4 linked regions of the Oryctolagus cuniculus genome follow. The protein of the gene in region 1 binds, or shares a complex with, the protein of each later gene. Links are inferred from orthologs where the notes say so. Each region holds a gene or a part of one and is shown in the gene's direction. Other genes may lie near its edges.

What was found.
Region 2: the proteins of SART3 (region 1) and USP15 are in contact, whole or in part, in a crystal structure (PDB 5JJW), measured with the Homo sapiens proteins. The link is inferred for Oryctolagus cuniculus from reciprocal best matches to the Homo sapiens genes SART3 and USP15. Residues at the interface, in NP_055521.1 of Homo sapiens: Ser438, Ser439, Lys440, Glu443, Gln490, Arg493, Glu494, Trp496, Asp497, Met500, Thr501, Ala505, Trp511, Tyr514, Arg533, Cys537; in NP_001239007.1 of Homo sapiens: Ser23, Leu24, Asp48, Trp50, Gly121, Met122, Phe123, Val124, Lys125, His126, Lys128.
Region 3: SART3 (region 1) and CCNT1 share a complex: the UniProt entries of both Homo sapiens proteins name them as parts of the 7SK snRNP complex. The link is inferred for Oryctolagus cuniculus from reciprocal best matches to the Homo sapiens genes SART3 and CCNT1.
Region 4: the proteins of SART3 (region 1) and USP4 are in contact, whole or in part, in a crystal structure (PDB 5CTR), measured with the Homo sapiens proteins. The link is inferred for Oryctolagus cuniculus from reciprocal best matches to the Homo sapiens genes SART3 and USP4. Residues at the interface, in NP_055521.1 of Homo sapiens: Asp437, Ser438, Ser439, Lys440, Gln490, Arg493, Glu494, Trp496, Asp497, Met500, Thr501, Ala505, Trp511, Tyr514, Lys529, Arg533, Cys537; in NP_003354.2 of Homo sapiens: Met24, Thr27, Leu28, Ser53, Trp54, Glu123, Gly125, Leu126, Phe127, Val128, Lys129, His130, Cys131, Lys132.

The regions. Positions count from the first base shown.
Region 1 is NC_091452.1:17,726,385-17,729,944, reverse strand, and holds the end of SART3 (squamous cell carcinoma antigen recognized by T-cells 3), read left to right. Parts: intron 1-90; coding exon 91-243; intron 244-1,336; coding exon 1,337-1,527; intron 1,528-2,134; coding exon 2,135-2,312; 3' UTR 2,313-3,015; downstream 3,016-3,560. UniProt on the Homo sapiens protein: U6 snRNP-binding protein that functions as a recycling factor of the splicing machinery. Promotes the initial reassembly of U4 and U6 snRNPs following their ejection from the spliceosome during its maturation.
Region 2 is NC_091442.1:64,569,330-64,573,461, forward strand, and holds the start of USP15 (ubiquitin carboxyl-terminal hydrolase 15), read left to right. Parts: upstream 1-1,272; 5' UTR 1,273-1,322; coding exon 1,323-1,411; intron 1,412-4,132. UniProt on the Homo sapiens protein: Hydrolase that removes conjugated ubiquitin from target proteins and regulates various pathways such as the TGF-beta receptor signaling, NF-kappa-B and RNF41/NRDP1-PRKN pathways.
Region 3 is NC_091442.1:52,212,561-52,216,668, reverse strand, and holds the start of CCNT1 (cyclin-T1), read left to right. Parts: upstream 1-1,271; 5' UTR 1,272-1,408; coding exon 1,409-1,569; intron 1,570-3,165; coding exon 3,166-3,247; intron 3,248-4,108. UniProt on the Homo sapiens protein: Regulatory subunit of the cyclin-dependent kinase pair (CDK9/cyclin-T1) complex, also called positive transcription elongation factor B (P-TEFb), which facilitates the transition from abortive to productive elongation by phosphorylating the CTD (C-terminal domain) of the large subunit of RNA polymerase II (RNA Pol II).
Region 4 is NC_091441.1:99,905,961-99,909,520, forward strand, and holds part of USP4 (ubiquitin carboxyl-terminal hydrolase 4), read left to right. Parts: intron 1-271; coding exon 272-402; intron 403-3,253; coding exon 3,254-3,380; intron 3,381-3,560.

The DNA.
Region 1 (3,560 bases):
GGCGAGCTCCCTGCCCAGGGCTGGCCCTGTGGGGCTGGCGTGCCAGGCGCGGCCGGAACAGCACGTCTTTTTCTCTCCCTCCTCCGGCAGGTGTTCAGGTACAGCACCGCTCTGGAGAAACACAAGCTGTTCATCTCGGGCCTGCCTTTCTCCTGCACGAAAGAGGAGCTGGAGGACATCTGCAAGGCTCACGGCACCGTGAAGGACCTCCGGCTGGTCACCAACCGGGCCGGCAAGCCCAAGGTCAGCGGGGGGCGCACGTTCTGGCGTGGGTTCCCCGTGATGATTCAGTGGCAAGGAATGCACACTGAGTCTCCTTCCCTGTGGAGGCAGATACTTTTTTCAAGATTAATTTGTGTATTTGGAAAGCAGAGTGACAGAGTAGGGTTGGGAGAGGAGGAGAGAATGAGAAAGATTTCCATCTACTGGTTCATTCCCCAAATGGCTGGTCAGGCCGAAGTCAGGAAGTCCATCTGGGTCTCTCATGTGGGTGGCAGGGACCCAGGTGTTTGGGCCATTGCTGCCTCCCGGGCAAGGTAGCAGGAAGCAGAGTAGCCCGAGTTGAAATTGGCACTCAGGTGTAGGGTGCCGGTGTGTTCTGAGCAGTGGTTTAACTTGCTGTTCCATGACGCCCGCCCCATGCGGAGTCAGGTGAAACTGTTTGCAGCTGTGTGTATTACAGAGGAATAGGCATTTAGAAATTAAATTCATCACAGATTCCTAAGCGCCGCAGTGTGGCCCCCTGGCTAGAGGCCTCGGGGAGGGGGTCCCTCTGCTGTGGTTACCGCTGCTCTTCCTGAGGCCCTCACTGGGCCACCTCGGGGCCTCGAGTGGACCCCTTAGCACATCCTCCCCTGCGGCCCACTCCTTTCTGCTCCACCTTTCAGCAGTTACTGTTGAGACGTGATTCTGGACCCCCTCTCACTCCCTTGCCCGCGGCCCAGCCATGCAGGTAAATGAAGAGTTAGTTGAGGAGTGTGACGGGAAGGCGGGCATGGAGGAGCAGAGACCTCGGCGCTCCCCTGGGCACCAGGGCTGCTCCCCGGTGTCTGTCCCCAGCCCACCTCCTCAGTCTGTTGGCTGGACTTATGCTGGTCTGATTGTTACTTTCATTTTTCTCTTGGGGAGCAAGCTCAAGGTGATCTGAACTTGGCTCCTCTGCGCTGCAGTCACTCCCGGCAGCGGAGGACAGGAGTAGGGAGGGAAGTCAAGCTGTGGACAGGGTGGCAGCCGTGGGGAGGGGAGCCAGTTGATGAGGTGCCTGCGTTGCAGAGTGAGGAGGAAGCTGCTCCTGGGTGTGCGGCAGCTCACCTGGCTCTGATCATGTCTCTTCCAGGGCCTGGCCTACGTGGAGTACGAAAACGAATCCCAGGCGTCGCAGGCTGTGATGAAGATGGACGGCATGACCATCAGAGAGAACGTCATCAAAGTGGCGATCAGCAACCCCCCTCAGAGGAAGGCTCCAGAGAAGCCGGAGGCCAGGAAAGCGCCGGGTGGCCCCCTGGTGCCGCGGCAGATATACGGAGCGTGAGTGTTTGTGCTGGCCAGCGCCCGGCCATGAAGGGCTAGATGAGGCAACAGTTAGGTCCCTGTTGGTAAGAGGAGTTAGGACAAGAGCACATGGGCCTGCTATCCCGGCGATGACCCCGTGGTTCTGCCGGGCAAGGTGTCCAGGGCGAGTCCAGGCCAGAAGGAGGCCCAGGCAGCGGGGCCCTGCCTCGTGTTTGCCAGGTGACACTGGTCCAAGGTCAGATGTTTCACCGGCACTGATGACGTCACCCGCCCCCTGATGCCCGAGCTTGCCAGCCTGCGGCTGCGCTCCCTAGAGAGGCCGTGTCTTCTGCCCGACAGGAGCCAGGCTGCAGGGTGGTTGGAGAGGTCTCGGAGGTGACAGCCACTTCTCACCCCAGAGTGTGACTTGCTCAGAGTCAGTCCTGGCCAGTTAATGAAGAAGGCAGAGCTTCCTGCAGTGGCTTTTAAGTAACAGCCAGGTACAGGGACAGGCCGCCTCTGGTGGGTTTTCATTTTTCATCATGAACTTTGCGTGATGTGCAGGATCCTGGCTCTTCTTCACGGTACCGTGGGGGTTGCGGGTCAGTGCTTTGAAGTGTACAGTCAGTGTTTGCTTTTGCAGGCGGGGGAAGGGCAGGACCCAGCTCTCTCTGCTGCCTCGTGCCCTGCAGCGCCCTGGTGCCGGGACTCCTCAGGCTGAGAACGGCCCTGCCCCACGTCCTGCCAACGCCGCCCCTGAGGCCACAGAGGCGCCCAAGATGTCCAATGCCGATTTCGCCAAGCTGCTTCTGAGAAAGTGAGCGGACTCTGCGGGAGACGGGAAAGGCCTTCTCGCCGGCCAGTACTCCGGGGACAGAAGGGACTGGCCCAGTGCCCACCCACGGCCACGGGCTTTCCTCTGGGTCAGACAGAAGGGGAGTGTTCCCCGTGAAGCGGCGTCAGTGCTCCCTCACATTGAGGGCGACGGCAGGAACGTGAGCTCAGGGCGTGGCATCCTGAGGCACATGGGTGTCTTCCCGAGTGAGGAGCAGCTGGGTCTGGGGCAGCGTGGAGACCCGCTCGTCCCGACGCTCCCAGCCGGCCCCAGCCCTTTTTCTAAGTCACTTCTCTCACACCTGCACGGTATACGTGCCCATCACTCTTTTAATTTTTAAAAGATGGACTGGCAAATGCTAGTAACTCACCAGAACGGCCTATTTTAGGAAGGGGTGGGAGCAGGGGAGGCCACGTAGGAGAAGTCCAGTGGGTTTTTGTTCGGGGGCTGTGTGTTTTTCTATTGTGTTTGTAAATGACACCTCAGCCTGTGGTTTCGTTTCCTAAAAGCAGTATCCAGATGTTTGTTTTATACCTGTACCGGAGGCCGTGTGCCACCTGCCGCGGGCCACTTCCTCTGCCTGCCGACTGGCTTTTCTTGTCTAAACCCTGAGTTTCAGCTCTTTGGTTTTGTTGAAACACCATGTCCTCCCCGTTTAGCTTTGTTTATTAAACAGAAGTTCTCTTAAACTCTTCTTGCTGAGTGGTGCTCAGAACCCTTCCTCAGGGCGGCCTGTAGCTATAAATAGAACTTTTCTAAGTCAAATCTCGTGGTCATTTTGATTTAAATTATTTCTGCTGTGATGGATCTTCAGTTGTAAACTTCAGTTTGATGCTTGAGTTTTTAAACTCTCTCACTTTTATCAGGGACTTACGGCTTTGGAAGCAGCCTTGCCAGTTCAGTAAGGAAGCTGACGTTCTAGAGGCACCGAGCTTCTTCTTCGACAGTATTTTTATTATTTGACAGGCAGAGCGCGAGTGCCCTCCCCTCTTCTGATTCAATCCCTACAGGCCCATAGTGGCTGGGGCTGGGTTGGGGCTGGGAATGCAGTCAGTCTCTCAGGTGGGTCTGGGCGGCCAGCTGTCTGTCTGTCGAGCCATCGCCTGCCAACTCCCAGGGTCTGCACTGGCAGGAGTAGGGAGCCGGGAGCCAGGTTCTCTGCTGTAGGACTGACTTGGGCATCCTGACCGCTGGGCTGAGTGCCTGCGCCCCCAGGGAGTCTTTTTATGCAGTG
Region 2 (4,132 bases), on another chromosome or scaffold:
AAGCAACCATCATACCAACATACACTTACATTTCTGAACGGTTCAGTACTTCTTAACAACATAATCACACCCATCTTTTCTGCATGGCCTCCAAATGAGTTGGAGCAGACATTAAAAACATGGGAACGAGAGAGGTTATGTGGGCATTCCTATCCATCTTTTAGGCTTTTCCTATCATTGTTATTTTTAAAGTCAAATCTCCGGACGTCTTCACGCTTGGAAGTACTTAAGTAGTTTTGGCATAATTCAATTAAACAACTATTTCGGTGGTTTTTTTTTTTTTTTTTTTTTTTTTTTTTTTTTTTTTTTTGCATCTTAGTCATTACTGTGCCAGCCACTAGGCGTAAAGAGGTTTTAAGATATTAGCCCAGTTCCAGCAGTCTTGTGAAGTTTACATTTTAGTTCAGGCTTTCACAAGGAGAGGTAGTGAAGGTGCTAGCATATGGGCTTTGGAACCTGTGTGACCTTGGCATTGGATTTTTGAGACTCGACTTCCCCATTTGTAACCTAATTACTGGCTTCCAATGAAGCTGTTGTTACCTGGCTTCACCTCCGGTGTAAGCACCATCGGAAAGTGAGGCTAAGCGAATGCTGCTCTTCTCCCCGCTTAGTCCCTGGCATTATTCAAAGGCCAGTTCGCCCCTCATTCACCAAGGAGCCCTGGCTTGTTTTTCTCTGCAGCTTAGTTGCCTGGGTGTGCCTGGGGAGGCGTCACAAAGAGCCTATTACAGGTCTCCACCCACAGCACGAGTGCAAGTGCTGCCAGGAACCTAAGGTCTTTGGGGCGAGGCGTTTGGTTTCGGATTGTTCTCGGGGCCACTATCCACTGAGCTTGGGTTCTGCGACTCGCAAGGACAAGCGCAGAATCACGGAGCTGCTCAGTTTTCTGCCATGTCTTAGCCATCCTCACGCCCTCCTGTCCACCCCACCCTCCGGAGCGAGTGAATGCGCAAATAAGGGTTTTCAGCCCTCTGTGGGAAAAGGGGAGGGGTAGGCAAACTCGAGGATGGACTGGGCAGTGGCAGGGCTCCAGCGAGAGAAGAGAGAGCACATGCCCTCAGCGAGGGGAGTCAAAACCCGGCTGTCCCGGGCCGGAGGAAGCTGAGGCAAGGCGCTGAACGGGCGGGGACCGAAGGCGGGCTGCAGGCCGCGGCCAGCACCCACTCCGCCCCCAGGCCTCCTCTCGTCCGGAGGCCACCCCCCCTCCGCGTCTCGTTTGGTTTCGACCTGACGAATGGGAGGGGCTGTGGACGCCATTCCCACAATGCTCTGGGGCGTGCCGCCGCCGTCGCTGCCGCCTCCGCTGCCGCTAGTGGAAGAAGATGGCGGAAGGCGGAGCGGCGGATTTGGACACCCAGCGGTCTGACATCGCGACGTTGCTCAAAACCTCGCTCCGGAAAGGGGACACCTGGTGAGGGGGAAGGGGTTGAGGTGGCCGCGGATGCGCGCGGGTGGTGGAGAACAGGGCGGGAACCGCAGGCTAGTGTCTTTCGCGAGTGACAGGTGCGGGCAGGTCCGGCTGCGGCCGCCCTGGGCAGCAGGATTTTGGGGCAAAGGTTGGACTGGACCTGAGGGCCGGCGTTCCAGACTTGCTTAGGCACGCTGAGAGGTATGCCGGGGACGCCGGCGGCGGCTCGTGGGGGTCTCTGGGTCCTTGTTGCTCCCGTAGTGCCGCTCCCACCTCAGGCCTGCCCGAGTGATAGGTTTCAGTCGTTCGGCGCGAGTCTTCCTCGGGGTTGACAGGTCTGGGTCCCGCGGCTTGTCACGGTCTCCCCCACGCTACTTCCCCAGTCACTTCTTTCCCCGGCATTGTCGGCATCCAAGTTCCCCATTCTTCCGATTCTTGCAGTCTTCCGGGAGACAGGCTGCAGGATGTTTGCGGTCGGTACTTACACAGGTGGCATGTGCTACGGCTCCACTCGAGAAAAAGAAACCCTAGTTTTCCAGTTCCTTGTCAGAAAATTAAAAAATAAAAAAAAAAAAGGGAGGGAGAAGGTAGGGAGCCTTAGGCTTGAGAGAGGGACCACGTGGTCTTGTGCTTGAGCGGAGGCTTGATAGAAACCGGCAGCGTTTCGGTTAGAATTGCAGCCCTTCCCTCCTGTTTGAAGGATAACGTAGGCCTGCAGAAAGTAGATAAGTCCACTTGAGCCTTCAGGAACTCGCTCGTAGTCAAACTTGTAAAATACCAAAGGATATGGTACACTTAAAATACCGGAGGAAGTTATGTGTAGATTTTCATGCTTTCGGCCATAGCAAGTGGCATCCAGAATAACTTAAGGATATGGTTTGGGTAACAGAAAGAGAAAGCGCTGTGTTTTGGAGGAAGAGTAGCGTGCCACTTGATTAAATTGTTTTTCCTTCCCACCGTCACCCTAATGGTGGTATGTAATTGGCGGAGTGTTTTCTTGAATGATGGCTTCCTGGAGGGGGGATAGGATTTAGAGACCTCAGTTATTTTCACGGTTTCACCACTTGCTGTGTGACTTTGAAGCAAGTTCATTTAAACCATTTTGCATCTCCATATCTTCATCTGTAAAATGGACAATAATTTTTATTATAGGGGCTTTATGTTGATTCAGTTAAATATCCCAAAAGGTTTGATATTTATGAGCTGTTACATTTTAGTTCTTTATCTCTGCCATATACTCCTAACAAAATGCTGTCATATTGTAATTGTTTTCAAATAAGTTAACAAGTGACATACTTAGGAACTGAATTTAGGTACTTTGATATAAGTCTTAGTACTTTTTCCCTAGTTTGGAAGGATACATATACTGTTGTATGAAAAACCTCTAATAGTGTAAATATATACTTGTTGCATTATGCAAAATAGTTTTTGCATTTTCAATGTTACTGTAAATCATTTAAAAGATATATTGTAAAGAATACATAGAGGAAGTCTATAAATTTGTCATTTCCTTTCATTTTAAAGAAAAGGAAACTGAGAAAGAGATACTTAGCCAATGGCAGACTTGTGTTTTCCTCTTGTTAATTTTTCTATTTTACTTAAAGGGGGAAAAATTGCAGGTGCAGGATAGTATTGGGGAATTGTAGAAGCCAGTGTGGTTTATATGTGAGGCAGTTTACTTGCAAATTAGCAGGTGAAATCTGTTAAAAAGGGAGCCTTGTAGAGCAAAAGTCTGATTCAGAGTTTTAAGGAGAGTAATTTGGTACAGATTTGATAGTGAACTCACGAATAAAGTACTGGTAGTGATATTGAATAATTACTAGGTTGTTTGGTGTATATTTAATTTTTGAGTTTGTCTTTTATGGGTACTTTAGCAAAACCTGCCCTATTTTAGAGCTGAAACCAGCCATATGCAAATGGAACATTGTCTTGGCACGTATATATAACCATTTCAGAAACACTGATTGGGCTATTGAGAGAAAAAATAGTTTATTCTTAAGCTTTAATAGAGATGCCTGGAGTTATAGTCAAATACATTAAAACGAGTGAATTTTATTCGTTAGCTTTTTAGCGTAGTCTCATAGTACTCTGGTAACTAAATACCTTGGCAGGTATTAAGATTTATTTGATTTTGGGTGCTTACTAGAGTTTCTGTTAATTTATAAGCAGTGAGTGATTTTTATTAGCAGATGAAAATAAGTTACAGAAATCTGAGATGACGAGGAACATACTTTGGTACTAGATTTTATAGTGAGAAGTAATTCAAAGTAGCTGCAAGAAAGTTATTCCTCTTAAAAAGGTGAGATAGAAAAGTAACACTTATCAGGGTAAGAAGTAATAAAGCACTAGTCTAATAATGTTATTTGTTGATGTATGTTTCACTTCCAACAAGAGATTCAAAAAATTAAGGACAGGATTAAGGTAGAATTTAGGAACTATAGGAAAAAGATAAAGAATTGTCTGGCTAAGGATAAATGAAAGACAGCTTGGAGATACATAGTGATTTCTCATGATGAGACAAAAAGAATTTGTTTAAAGTACATTACATGTAAGTATTTTGGCAGTCTATTAAAAATGGTAGATGAATGATTTACAAAGAAAGTTTTGAGTTGTGGAATTCTGTCTTTGGAGATTTCTTTTAAAATAGACCTATTATGAGCCAATAAACAAGTAACTATACATCATCAAAATCACCACTTCATTTTCTCCAGTGTTATGGAAATA
Region 3 (4,108 bases), on another chromosome or scaffold:
ACGGCAAAGGAAGACCTTTCTCTCTCTCTCTCTCACTGTCCACTCTGCCTGTCAAAAAAAAAAAAAAAAAAATTCTCATTTACTGCCGTTCACAACCTGATACTTAAAACGTAGGTACTAACAATTGCATATTTTAAGAGTCAGAAATGAGGCATCTTGCCCAGCATCAAGACGTCGGAGCCACTTCACCACGAGACAGGAAGGCCCAAGTTTGCGCCCATGGCGGGTGGTGGTGGGAGCCTCCCGCCTCGAGGGGTGCCGCTTGAAACCTTCTGCACACGGGAATTAAATATTACTAAGAATGACGATGACGAAGGCATACGGTACACGGAGACGTCAGCATCGTGCTCGGGACCTGCAAGCACTGAGTGAGTGCTGCTAACTTCACGCTACACCTTCCCGGGGCACCACTGCTCCTGTTCTCACGGGTTTGGGCTACTTATTAGGAGGGGGATGTTCAAACGAGTGGCAGTGCTCGGCACCCACCAGCAATATTAAAAAAAGCCCGCCTCAGGCCGGCCGCGGCTCACTAGGCTAATCCTCCGCCTTGCGGCGCCGGCACCCCGGGTTCTAGTCCTGGTCAGGGTGCTGGATTCTGTCCCTGTTACTCCTCTTCCAGGCCAGCTCTCTGCTGTGGCCCGGGAGTGCAGTGGAGGATGGCCCAAGTGCTTGGGCCCTGCACCCCATGGGAGACCAGAAGTACCTGGCTCCTGCCATCGGATCAGCGCGGTGCGCCGGCCATTGGAGGGTAAACCAACAGCAAAGGAAGACCTTTCTCTCTGTCTCTCTGTCTCACTATCCACTCTGCCTGTCAAAAAAAAAAAAAAAGCCCGCCTCTGCTGGCTTTACATCTCCGCGGTACGATAGCGGCTACGCTCTTCGCTTCTCACCTATTCTACAAAGCTCTGCCACCGTCCCATTTTACGTCGCCACTTCAGCCAGGAGCAAAGTTCTCGTAGGACCCACCAAGCGGCACGTGGCCGTGAGCCGCCACCATAATAGTCCCAGGAACTGCCTCGCAGCACCCCCCTCCCCCCCGCAAACAACCATCGCGAGCTCAGTTCTCGCGGGAAGAGACGCGGTTTTTAAACGTAAACGTATGACTCCGCCCTACTCGGCGCGTGGGGTGGGGGTGGGGTCACGTGACCGGCGCCTGCGCCCTCTCTTCAAGGTCTTTCCTGGCGGTACGCAAGCTGCACAGCCGGCTACGGAGCGTCGCGAGGGCCATTCCGGAAGTGGGCGCTCAGACTTCCGCTTCGTCGGCGGAAGCGTGTCACAAAGCCGGCCGTCGAATCCTAGCGGAAACTCGTCACGTCGCAGTTGCCCCCGCACGGCGGATGTGTGTCGCCGCGTAGGTGACGCTGGGAAGTGCTCGCAGCCTCTGCTGCTGCCTTCTGGTTGTAGCACTATGGAGGGAGAGAGGAAGAACAGCAACAAGCGGTGGTATTTTACTCGAGAACAGCTGGAGAACAGCCCATCCCGCCGGTGTGGCCTGGACCCCGATAAGGAACTTTCTTATCGCCAGCAGGCGGCCAATCTGCTTCAGGACATGGGTCAACGTCTTTTCGTGTATCCTTGCGGCCTAGGCCTTCGGGCCTGGGAGTCGGTGCCGGCCGGGCTCGGGGCGGGGACGGGAGGTGGGCAGGAGCCGGAGCGCTAGGTGAGCGAGCGCGCCGCGGGGCGGGTTGAAAGTCGGGGTTGGCGCCAGGGCAGCGAGGCGGAGTTCGTTTCCCGCTTGCTCACCCTTGCCGGGAATGCAGGCCCTTCCCGGCTTTGTGTTTCCACCGGTTCTCGTGGTCTGCCGGCTGCCTTTGAGCTTGTTCTTTCCCTTACGCCCTCGGGGTCTGGTGGAGGGTTCACTGTTGACGCCTGTCCCCCTTAAACTCGGCGTGTTAGCGATTCAGTACCCGAAAGCCTTGCACAGGTGGCTTAGAATTCGTGTCCAAGCAGTGGTTCCGAATCTGTGACTCCCGCGTGCTGATTTAACTTGGTCAGAGGCTTCCTCCGTCCTGGCCCGCCTCGGTTCCGTGTCCACCACGGTGCTTGGGGGCCAGACGTCGAAGGGGGCGCTGTTAGAAGTTCTGAGGAAGGAAAAGATGGCAGATTAGGTGTGTAGGGGATGCGTAGAGCTGTGGATCTCATGTTTCCCACCGTTTGCGAGATTCTGGGTGCTTAACGCTACGCCGAGTTTGAGTGTGTATTCGTTCCTTTCGTAATTCAAAATTGAGCGAATTCCGTGCTTTGTTTTTCCGCCCGAATGTATTTGCTTGTCGGAAGACGTTTGTTTTGCGTCGGAGGGAAGAATGTCGTTTTCAAGCTGCTTCTGTCGTGGGCTGAAAACTTTTTTCTGAAGTGCAGCTTCCATGTAATTGGTCGTGTTTGTGGGGGTGCGCCCAGTCTGAAATGCAGGGGTTGCCCTCTGTTGCCAGCCTGTTTTCCGTATCAAATTTGTTTCCTAAGCATCTGATCTGTACAGAGCTAAATCATGTTGTCTGAGATCCGGTTTTCAGTGTATCCTTGAAACTTTTTATATGTGTGTTATTCACCTTGTTGCTAAGTGACATTTCTGTATCTCATGTTGTTTGGGACGGCCTTAAGATGTAAGACATGAAAACAGTTTTATTTTCAGCGAATGAATATCAGGCCTTTTGAAAAATGGTAGTCCCAGGGGTTGCTCTGTGACCAGAGAGAGGTGGAACTGTAAACTTAATTGCTGGGGTGTAGAAGCTGAGGGAGATAGTGGTGACATATTCCCCAGGGCTATGGCTGCATCAGGGAGGACCTTGTAAATGATGATTAAAGAGATACCCCGAGCTAATGCATCATCTTTGCAGGGTGTTCAGAAGGTGAGTGAAAGCATTTAAGAGCTCATTACATAGTTTTGTTTATAAGCCATATTGAGCCACACAGCCCGAGAAACTTAGTAATTCGGTGAATTTGTAGTGAGTACTTGTGTAAGTAAATGTGGAAGGCATTGTGGTCAGTGCCAGTTGGCAGTTAATAATTTGGCGGAGGAGAATGGGCTGCTTTCTGATTTGGAGAGGTAAGTAGGTTTTCCTTTAAGGGCATCTATCATGCTTGGTCTTCTGGTCTTTCTGGAAGGGGCCAGATGTTATGTTTTCTGGAAGTATCCTGCTTGTTTTTGCCTTCACTGGAGCACTTCAGCTCGCAACTGACCATCAACACCGCTATAGTATATGTGCATCGATTCTACATGATCCAATCCTTCACTCAGTTTCATCGAAATGTGAGTATGACTTTTCTTATGTGGTGTTCGCTTCGTGAGTCTTCTACATACCTGTTTCTTCAGGTTGGTCTTTGCCACTGAGCTGGGATTTGAACTTGAGAACTCTGCTGCTCACTTTCATTCTGTGTCACACTGTTGCTATGAATACAGCTTTCCCATTTTCCTATGAAATGTAGTTTTCTGCACCCTTACAGTAGGTAGGTTCTCTAGTAATGAAATAGATTATCAAACGTGTAAAGATGTTTTTGTGGGGGATGGCATTAAAGTGGAAATCATATTTCAGTAGAGCGTTCAAAGTGGCAAAATAATGTCACAGGAAAGCAAATGAATATAAGTAATTTAGATTTTCACAAGCCTTTTACAAAACTCCAATCAATGCCCAGAGGATCTGGAATGTACAAAATGTGGTAATGCCTCGAGAAATGAATTTTAAGAACAGAACAAAGAAGATGTTAGCAGTAAAAGACCTTTTTTTCCCTCCTGGACAGATTGTAAATTATGCTACTTTCAGTTTTGCTAACTGAAATGGTCCTATTTAAGATTATTATAAGTAGCTTGGAAGTGAATGCATAGTGGTAGTCCACTAAGGCTGTATTTGTTTTGAAAACATTCCAAGGTAATGGTGATAAGCTTGAGGAACACTTTATATGGTTTGCTCATCAGAGATTTCATTATTTTGTAAAAAGAAAAAGGTTATGCTTTTGAATAAATTTGTTTTAGGCTTTACTTTGGGATGATGGTTTTGAGCTTTTTTTTTTTAAGCTCTTGGAAGAGAGTTTGTGAAGCTAGATATAGCTCCTGTAAAGTAAGAAATGGGCAGAATCCAGGGGCTGATGTTGTGATGTAGCAGGTAAAGCTTCC
Region 4 (3,560 bases), on another chromosome or scaffold:
ACTTTGGAATCCAAATTGGCATTTTTCTCTGTTGTCCTGTGCTGCCTCCAATTATAGAAGAAATATGATTTCCTTCAAATGTTCAGAAAACATGGCTAAGGACAGAGAGCAGTACAAGTCTGCTCTGTGTTACGGCCAGTGACAGACATTTGGAATTTTGCACTTGTTCCTGTAAATACTTCTTTTGTTTCTGAAAAATGCATGAAAATCATTTAAAAATCGTTGGTGGGAGAGGGACAACAGTGAGTTATGTGCTGTTTTCCTTTTTCAGATCCTGAGAGTCAGACCTTGAAAGAACACTTAATTGATGAATTGGACTACGTATTGGTTCCAACTGAGGCCTGGAATAAATTACTAAACTGGTATGGCTGTGTAGAAGGTCAGCAGCCCATTGTGCGAAAAGTGAGTCCATGGGTCGTCACACGTGCTGCGTGGCGTCTGCCGCTGCTCCTGGGGGGACACTGGCTGCTCCTGGTTCCCTAGGAAGACGCGTGCACCAAAGGGGCTGGGAGAAGGGGGTGGCGTCTTGTATTTGTTTCTCTTCTGGGAATTATTGTGAATGATGGTGAGAGAGGCTGCTCGCCCAGGGTAGGACTGCGAATGGGCTCAGGACATCAGAGCTGCCCAGTGCTGTGAGTGCGCCTTCTGGAGGGCTTCCTGAGGAGGTGTTCACTGGGGACACGGGGACATACAGTGCACTGCTCGTTTCCCCGCTGTTAGGAGTCTTTGGCCGCACTGTTGAATAATTAAAAATGCAGGCATTTACTGCCCAGAGAGGAATAACCTGAGGGAAAGGCGGCTTGGGACAGAACCTGGGTTGTTAGTGCCTGTGATAGATGGGACTCGGGAGGACACCACCACCCTGTCTCCCACAGCGCTTGTGCTGCTTACACCAGAGAGAAATCACAGGAGCCCACGTGCCTGCTGATATTTAGGCTCTGGATACATTTTCCGGTTTTTAATTTTTTTAAATAAAACTTTAAAGAAATTATTTGAGAGGCAGAGAGAAAAGAGCAAGAGAGAGCGCACACTTCCATCTATTGGTTCACTCCCCAAATCCCTGCAGTAGCCACAGGCCAGGGGCTGAAGCTGGGAGCCAGGAACTCAGTCCAGGTTTCCCGTGCGTGTGGCAGGAACCTCATCACTTGAGCCATAACCAGTACCTTCCAGGGTCCATAAAACAGAAAATTGGATTCAGGAACAGAGCAGGGACTCCAACTCGAGCTCTCTGAGGCGGGGACAGGTGCCCCACTGGCAGCTTGACGCTGGGGCTGAATACCTGTCCTGTTTCCCATTCTTAACAGAGGAGGAAAAAGCTACAATTCTGAGACCATGCTTCTGATGTCACAGTTCAGGACCAGAACTGCGTTTCTTTCCAGCTTAAAACCTGGAAGCCTGGGAGCGAGGAGGAGTCAGAAATGCCAGGCACTAGCAGAAACCCCCTGCTTCCCTCAGTGCTGCCTTGCGAGCGCTCTGCCTAGTGCTGCACCTGTGTTCCCTGAGCCTCCTGCAAGGAGGGTCCATTGATCCTCGCTCAGAGATGAGTGATGACTTCCCTTTTGTGCAGTGTCTGGGCTTACGGGCAGGGTTATTCTTTGTCATTATTTCTGAATTTGTTAATTAACTTTTGAATTTTGTGTCATGACCGTCTCGTGGCTGTACCAGTGCCATGTTGTAGATATGCAAAGTAATTCTCTATAGTAAGAATGTAAAATACATGCCCATGTATTTTGAGGGGAAAGAGTAGAGTTTACTTTTGCCAACACTTTTTTTTTTTAAAGATTTATTTTATTTATTTGAAGACGGAGTTAAAGAAAGAGGTAGAGACAGAGAGAGAGGTCTTCCATTTGCTGGTTCACTCCCCAGATGGCTGCAAAGGCTGGAGCTGCGTTGATCCGAAGGCAGGAGCCAGGTGCTTCCTCCAGGTCTCCCACACGGGTGCAGGGGCCCAAGGACTTGGGCCATCTTCTACTGCTTTCCCAGGCCATAGCAGGGAGCTGGATTGGAAGTAGAGCAGCCAGATCTCGAACCGGCACCCATATCGGATGCCGGTGCTCCAGGCCAGGGTGTTAACCCACTGTGCCACAGCGCTGGCCCCTTGCAAGTCTTAAGTAAGACCTTTCTGGGGCTGATGTTGTGGCGTAGCAGGTAAAGCTGCCACCCACAACACTGGTAATCCCATATGGGTGTCAGTTCCAGTCCTGGTGCTTTGCTTCTGACCCATTTCCCTGCCTTTCTCCATGGGAAAAGCAGCTGAAGATGACCCAAGTGCTTGGGCCCATGCCACCCACGTGGGAGACCCTGATGAAGCTCCTGGCCCCTGGCTTGGGCCTGGCTCATTCCTAGCCATTGAGGCCACTTGGGGTGTGAACCAGTGGATGGAAAACCGCTCTTGTCTTTCCCTCTCTTTCTCTGTAACTCTTTCAAATAAATAAATAAATACAAACAAACAAAAACACAGAAAAGTAAAAAAAAAAACAAGACTTCTCTGTTCAAAGAAGACTTCTTGAGACCTGCCTGGGAGCCCTGGTATCGCGTTAAATCCAGTGAGGAAAGGGTTGTCTCTGGTTCCGTCGAGGTGCCTTTCACTGGTGCTGAAAGTATGGAAGAAAGGTTTTTAATTTATTTGAGAGACATACTTATATATAAAGAGCTCCCACCCAGTGGCCAGAGCTGGTGTAGGGCCAAAGCTGGGAGCCGAGAATGCAATCCAGGTCTCCCACGTCGGTGGCAGGAACCCAATTACTTGAGCTATTGCTGCTCTCTCCCAGGGTCTGCGTTAGCAGGAAGCTGGGGTCAGGAACCAGAACTGAGACTTGCTTGAACCACTATGTTACATGCTACTACCTGGAACGAGATTTTTAGACTCCTGGGGTAGGTGCTGAAGGCTTTAAAACTTTGTACTTCTGGGGGAGATGTTTAGCTTATCAGTTAATGTGCTGATCAAGGTGCCCGTCCTGTCCCCCAACATGGGGGACCAAGCTCCAGGATTCAGTCTTAGTACCAGCCAGGTGACTGTGGGTATTTGGAGAGTGAACCAGTGGGTGGGAGCTCTCTATCTGTTCCCCTTTCCTCTCAGTTGTTTTTTCTGGTCTCTCAAATTTAAAACTAAACAAACAAAAACTACTTCTAGTCTGCTGAGCATTGAAGGAAAGTGATTTCATGAAGTACCTGCTTTTTGCTGTTGATGAAACACGCTGCTTCCTGGACTGCCCTTGCATCCAGCCCCTGCTCCCTCCCCTGCCTGTTCCAGGTTGTGGAGCATGGCCTGTTTGTCAAGCACTGCAAAGTGGAGGTGTATTTGCTGGAACTGAAGCTTTGTGAGAACAGTGACCCCACGAATGTGCTGAGTTGCCATTTCAGCAAGGCAGACACCATTGGTGAGCAGCAGAGCGGGGTCCTGGGGTGTGGGGAGAGACTGCAGGACATTGTGGCGGGTGGAAGGGACGTTGGGGTGCCCTCTTTAGACTTCTTGGGCTGCGGCTGCCAGTCCTGACCTAGGAGCCTGTTCCTCAAGCTTGGGAATCAGGTTCTGAAGGGCAGCAGGTATAATCTTTGCC